2 linked regions of the Saccharomyces cerevisiae S288C genome follow. Changing the gene in region 1 together with any one later gene gives a genetic interaction. Each region holds a gene or a part of one and is shown in the gene's direction. Other genes may lie near its edges.

What was found.
Region 2: of MLC1 (region 1) and MRS6, extra expression of one rescues a mutant of the other (dosage rescue), as found in Saccharomyces cerevisiae (one study listed by BioGRID).

The regions. Positions count from the first base shown.
Region 1 is NC_001139.9:304,642-307,509, forward strand, and holds MLC1 (Mlc1p), read left to right. Parts: upstream 1-1,918; coding exon 1,919-2,368; downstream 2,369-2,868. Other genes in the region: RMD9 (Rmd9p), read right to left, coding at 1-1,632; ARC1 (Arc1p), read left to right, coding at 2,796-2,868. UniProt on the Saccharomyces cerevisiae protein: Essential light chain for the class II conventional myosin MYO1. Also acts as light chain for the class V unconventional myosin MYO2 and for IQG1.
Region 2 is NC_001147.6:1,028,348-1,032,828, reverse strand, and holds MRS6 (GTPase-activating protein MRS6), read left to right. Parts: upstream 1-1,834; coding exon 1,835-3,646; downstream 3,647-4,481. Other genes in the region: GPB1 (Gpb1p), read left to right, coding at 1-1,340; 40S ribosomal protein eS12 RPS12, read left to right, coding at 4,204-4,481. UniProt on the Saccharomyces cerevisiae protein: Substrate-binding subunit (component A) of the Rab geranylgeranyltransferase (GGTase) complex. Binds unprenylated Rab proteins and presents the substrate peptide to the catalytic component B.

The DNA.
Region 1 (2,868 bases):
AAAGACCTTTTCATCCCTCTTTGATTGTGACCATACGACAGTGGCATCCCTCAAAGCGGACAGATCAGCATTGGCTATATATTGTTGGCCCAATTCATTCAGTTTCTTGACCAACTCCAGCCATCTATCCAGAATCTCTTCATTATTCGTGTTGTCTATGCTTCCCAATGATTTCAGTAGTATTCTATATGATATAATAGTTCTTGGAATATGGTACAAAGTATAGTTTTTATCGATAAAATCGATTATGCTGCGTTCGTGCCAGATAGATGCTCTAGTTAACATAACGTTAAAAAATGGTTCATCAATTTTTTTGACCCCACTGTAAAACGTTATGATTTCTTGAAGCTTACGGAAACCATTGATATTGTCATTAATATAGTTTTCGAAGAATATTGTGAAAAAAGTGTTGTTTAGTGAGGACAAAATTCCAGGATTAACAGTGTTACCATAAAATTTTACAGCCTTTTCCCATATTCTATAAACATGATCAAAATCGTTCTGTGCTTTCCATATATTCTGCAAAAAAGAGTTCACTGTAGAGACTTGTAAAATAATCTTGTATGGCATTTCATCGTTGATAATTTTGTCAAAGAAACTTTCTGCCAACGTTAAATTCTTGGAATCACCAATGAAGCTTAAGTGCGTTTCAATTAAATAACCGTAATTCCTCACTTCAGCCTTTTCACATAATTGGCCGAAGAGGGATAATGCCTTTTCGTAGTCTTCCGCCTTGATGAAGACTTTTATCAGTCCGCTGTAAAGATTGGGATGGATAAATTCTTTGGATTGAATAATTTGGTTATATAGCTCGTTAGGCTCAGTCAGAGAACGCGTTTTTGCATAAAGTAATGGCAGCATAAAACCAACCACTTTTGGTTCTTGGAATGCCTGTGAAGTAGTCTCGTCGGACAAATTCTTTGACGCTTCCCAAATTCGAATACAGTCATCGTCAAATGACAGCTCTTTAAATGAAGTCAATAGATGAGTAGCTCCATATCCGCTGACAGACACCTTGCCTATCAAAATGTCATCAGATATATCCTTTAATGAATTACATAGAAAGTTCATCATTTCCTTGTGAAAAGATTGCGAATCGTAGTCTGGCTTTCTACTTAATTTTACCAATTGGTCTCTCGTCGACCTCAGACCGTTATGCAGCAGATGAATCAAACGTGACACCCGGTACGCATTGAAATCAGGCGATTCTCTCAAAGAATAGTATAACTCCATTGCTCTGCCCATGGAGTCCCAAAACATGGCGAATGATGGATTTTTATTCAATTGGTTGTTTCCTATTCTTTTGTATGTATTTTGCAAAGGCGTGGTAGAGTACTTTAAAGCAGATGATACACACTCATCAAACGAAAGAAGCTCGTGGCGCCATGGAGAAGCTGGATCCACATTAAACACATTCTGTTCTGTTTTGCGCTGTTCTCGCCCATTCTTCTTGTCCAAAACGCCCTTAGGTACATTTTTATGAAATATCGGACTGGAGTGGTAAGTACGGTCGCTAAGAACTACGTTGGCAAGCTTACCTCTCAGCATTGCTATCGAACCGGAGTTAACAACGTTGCTTACGCTTATTTCCATAGTTTTTAACGATCTCACCGCATTTCTTCTAAGCATCATTGTCCCTTTTGCAGTATATGGACTCTCCGAATAGTGTAAGAAAATGACACTGAAACCTCACCTTCTTTTACTTATTGCTTAGACCCTCATTACAATGCCATACTGAATACATTTTTTCGAATCTTGTTCAGTCAGGAACCTCAACCATATATCATTACACACGAGTAGTAACAAAAGCATTTTGAAGTAAGATTTGAAACAAAATAATACTCAGAGTAGATCGACGTATAAGAGTTCCTTCCCCAGCGTATTCCGCCACCACCCATCGCACATACATAGAATAACAATGTCAGCCACCAGAGCCAATAAAGATATTTTCACACTATTCGACAAGAAGGGTCAAGGCGCCATTGCCAAGGATTCCTTGGGAGATTACCTGAGGGCAATTGGCTACAACCCCACCAACCAGCTCGTACAGGACATCATAAACGCGGATTCGAGCTTGAGAGACGCCTCTAGCTTGACGCTGGACCAGATTACAGGCCTAATTGAAGTCAACGAAAAGGAATTGGATGCAACTACCAAGGCAAAGACAGAAGACTTCGTCAAGGCATTCCAGGTCTTCGACAAGGAAAGTACAGGCAAGGTATCCGTTGGTGACTTAAGGTACATGCTAACTGGCTTGGGTGAAAAGTTAACCGACGCTGAAGTAGACGAGCTGTTGAAGGGTGTTGAAGTGGACAGCAACGGAGAAATTGACTACAAGAAGTTCATCGAAGATGTTTTGAGACAATGAGAGTGCGGAACTGCAAATTTAGACATTTATTACTATATAACAGAGTCCTATCGACATAAAAACGAAAAAAGCGCCATTATGCAATGAAAACTTGCCAGCGGTTTTTCATTTTTCATACTGGTAATTCAGAGAGCCAAGTCTTTCTTTATAATGCATAGCAATAAATAGTCATATATATATATATATATATATATATATGTACATATATATGAACATATATATGAACAAATAAATGATAATGGTATGTGATAGTCATTATTAACGATTAAGCGTTTTTCTTCAGTTTCTGAGGGATTCTAACCGCTTGGCGATTTTGCAAGAGATAAGAAAATTTTTCAGTCATATGGATAACCTAACACAGCGTGCGACGTATTTTACTTCAGGGCCCAATTGAATAAGAAAGTATAATATAGAGTTTCAAGAGTCAATGTCCGATCTCGTTACCAAGTTCGAATCGCTTATTATTTCAAAGTATCCAGTTTCTTTCACTAAAGAACAAT
Region 2 (4,481 bases), on another chromosome or scaffold:
CGCCAAGATTTGGTCACATGCAGGCATCAATAAGTAATTCCAACAACAATGTATCCAATGAAAATACCACAACAAGTGCGAAAGGAAGAAGGTCGATAAGCCCATATCGCCAAGGTAATGGGGATCACAAAATAGATGATTTGGTTGGTTCACCAGGAAGTACGGACTATTTAGAGGATGATGCAATTCCACCTGTAACAAACCCAAGGTCTACAGATAGTCTCTCTTCCAAACATTGTAGCACAGCAACACACATTTGCTCATCTGTTAATACCATTCTGATCTTTGGAGGGTATAGTCAGACTGGTGACGACAAGTATGAAGCTATGAATGACATGTGGAAGATAAATATCCCTGTAGTTTCTCGTGGGAAACGTAATTATTATAAATTTGCAGATACTGTAACTGCTACTAAGATCCCTATTATTGATGATCCAGAATTATGGCCGAGCAGAAGAGCCTTTTCAGCGTGCTGTGTACCAGATTATTTTACCAAGGATGTTGAACCCATAGAAACGAGATTACTGAGGAACTTGAAAAATGACTTCTCCATCGATTTGGAAATACGCCCAGGAAATAAGCCTTCTCAACCACTTTTTCCGAATATCCCACATTCAAGGAAGGAGAAGAAGAGTGGTCGCGATAGTATGCATATTTCCAATTCTAATAATAGTACTAGTGAAGACACTTCTTCAAAGTCTACCAGGAATACCACATCCAGTCCTCCCACAAGCCCTAAACATACACCACCATTGAATCCATCAAAAAAATGTGCATCAATCGGAAGAACTATTGCGTTCCACGGAGGTTCAGATGGCTATGACGTTTGCAGCGATATGTGGTGGTTTGACTTCGATTCCGAAACCTGGACTAAAATAGACCTTTATGCCAAAACACAAGAGGAATCTGATGGTTTGGTACCTATCAACTTATGTATGGTAGGACACTCAATGACAACTGTAGGCCACAAGGTTGTGCTTATCGGGGGTCTACGACAAGGTGATGTTGACCGAATATACCGGGACGAAACTCTTCCTGAAGAAGTAATATCGGGTGTTCCACTCGGAAGTGGCGTTATAAATGTCGTGGATTTAAATACACAATGCCTTCAAGGTTGCAAGCTAATACGAAATGATGGAGATACTAAAGAATCTGTCATTATGGATCCTCATGTCGGCACACCCCACCAAGTATTGGCCGTCGCAGGTACTATAGAACTGGTCAAAGGAACCATGACCTTAATAGGAGGTGTAGTAGCCGGTCGCGAAGACATTTCGAGCCTTTACTTGAGAGGAGCTGTCTTACAATTCATTCTACCAAGCATGAATCTAGCCAACTAATTAATTCCGCGGGGCGGGGTTCGGATAATCCTTATGTGACAAGAGTGACTAAAGGAAAACGAGAAAATTTTTTCGTGGAACTTGAAAAAAAAAAAAAAAAAAAAAAAGAAAACAGAACAAGTGAAGAAGATAAAAAAAGGTTCTATATCGCACTATACAACAATAGTAGCGTTTCCCGTGTTCTTTTCCCGTCATTAAATATATTCAAAAGTTGTTGCACATTTGATTTTACAGAAGTAATATACACTGATTGTGCGTACGGTTAATTCGCAACTAAATTCAATCAGTACAAGAAAAATTTTTATTCCGTTCCATCATTATTGAAAGATAAACTATCACATTGCGATAATAAACTAAAAGACACTAGGATACTGCCTTCGGATATAAACATTTAAGTTTAATTTATTACTGTTTTTTTAAGGGTTTAACAGCAACATTTCAGTTTCTATAATACAAATAAAAAAAGGAAGACTAATATTGACCGAAAAAAAGTTATGTTAAGTCCTGAACGTAGACCATCCATGGCAGAACGCCGCCCATCATTTTTCAGTTTTACTCAAAATCCAAGTCCTCTAGTTGTCCCGCATTTAGCCGGTATTGAAGACCCTTTGCCAGCCACTACACCAGATAAAGTTGATGTTTTAATCGCAGGGACTGGTATGGTAGAGAGTGTATTGGCTGCTGCATTAGCTTGGCAAGGTTCCAATGTCCTTCATATTGATAAGAATGATTATTACGGTGACACTTCAGCCACACTAACTGTAGACCAAATCAAAAGATGGGTAAATGAAGTTAATGAAGGCTCAGTAAGTTGCTATAAAAATGCGAAGTTGTATGTATCCACGCTAATCGGTAGTGGTAAATATTCTTCAAGAGATTTCGGTATTGATCTTTCCCCGAAGATCCTATTTGCAAAATCTGATTTATTATCCATCTTAATCAAATCAAGAGTTCACCAGTATTTAGAATTCCAATCTTTATCTAATTTCCATACTTATGAAAATGATTGTTTCGAAAAACTAACAAATACAAAGCAAGAAATATTCACGGATCAAAACCTACCACTAATGACAAAGAGGAACTTAATGAAATTTATCAAATTCGTACTCAACTGGGAAGCACAAACGGAAATATGGCAACCCTACGCGGAGAGGACCATGTCTGATTTTTTAGGGGAAAAGTTTAAATTAGAAAAACCACAAGTCTTCGAATTAATCTTCTCAATTGGGTTATGTTATGATCTCAACGTAAAAGTACCAGAAGCTTTACAAAGGATTCGTCGATATCTAACTAGTTTCGATGTTTATGGACCATTCCCTGCACTATGCTCCAAGTATGGTGGGCCAGGAGAATTGTCGCAAGGGTTTTGTAGATCTGCCGCTGTAGGTGGCGCTACTTACAAACTCAATGAGAAATTGGTATCCTTCAACCCTACAACTAAAGTGGCCACATTCCAAGATGGATCCAAAGTTGAAGTTTCAGAGAAAGTGATAATATCGCCTACGCAAGCACCTAAAGACAGTAAGCATGTCCCTCAACAACAGTACCAGGTTCATCGTTTGACCTGTATAGTTGAAAACCCCTGTACTGAATGGTTCAATGAGGGTGAATCGGCCGCCATGGTAGTCTTCCCTCCTGGCTCTTTGAAATCTGGTAATAAGGAAGTAGTACAAGCCTTTATTCTCGGTGCTGGCAGCGAAATTTGTCCAGAAGGAACTATTGTATGGTATTTATCGACCACAGAACAAGGCCCACGTGCTGAAATGGACATTGATGCCGCTCTAGAAGCTATGGAAATGGCCCTGCTAAGGGAATCGTCTTCAGGTTTAGAGAACGACGAAGAAATTGTTCAACTAACGGGAAATGGTCATACAATAGTAAATTCAGTTAAGTTAGGCCAATCTTTTAAGGAGTATGTTCCTAGGGAAAGATTACAGTTCTTATTTAAACTTTATTATACCCAATACACATCCACGCCACCCTTTGGTGTAGTTAACTCCTCCTTCTTTGATGTAAATCAAGATTTGGAAAAAAAGTATATTCCCGGTGCGAGTGATAATGGCGTCATATATACAACCATGCCTTCTGCTGAGATATCGTATGATGAAGTAGTCACCGCAGCCAAAGTTTTATACGAAAAGATAGTTGGCAGTGATGATGACTTCTTCGATTTAGATTTTGAAGATGAGGATGAAATACAGGCTAGCGGCGTTGCTAATGCGGAACAATTTGAAAATGCCATAGACGATGACGACGATGTCAATATGGAAGGTTCCGGTGAATTTGTAGGTGAAATGGAGATATGACGAGCAAGACATATTCTATTTAGTATTTTTTTCCCTTCAGGAAACGGTGATTAATGTCTTCTTACAAGTTAATGAATAGTATATATATGTAAAAAAAAATTCTGCTTCATGTATATACGCACCTCGTTATTGAGGTATTGCGAATGTAGCAGTTGAATAAGCAAAGACGAGGTTTGTACATCTTGGCATATTAAATGGTTATTTCGGGGTTTGTTTCGGCTCAACGGTGATATAAAAAGAAATCCAGTACTGTTTACCATTGTGCATCCGTACATTTGATTTGTTTACAACATCTTCACATTTCCATTGTGGAATCATTTTATTTTTTTCAGAATACCTTACCCGCAAGCAAACTTTCAAGCAAACTTACAATTTGCAAAATTTCATCGAATTCTCCGCAGGACATATTATAAAAGTTATGTCATCTCTTATCACAACAGGTCTATAAGTGTTCCTTGTTCAATTGTTTTTCCCAATTCAAAACTCTTCACGGAGCAGTTTAATTATCTTACTGTCGAAGAAGTCAAAAACTAGACTATATATTATTGAGAAGAAAAATGTCTGACGTTGAAGAAGTCGTTGAAGTTCAAGAAGAAACTGTTGTTGAACAAACTGCCGAAGTTACTATCGAAGATGCTTTGAAGGTTGTTTTGAGAACCGCTTTGGTTCACGATGGTCTAGCTAGAGGTTTGAGAGAATCTACCAAGGCTTTAACCAGAGGTGAAGCTTTATTGGTTGTTTTGGTCAGCTCTGTTACTGAAGCTAACATTATCAAGTTGGTTGAAGGTTTGGCTAACGACCCAGAAAACAAGGTTCCATTGATCAAGGTTGCTGA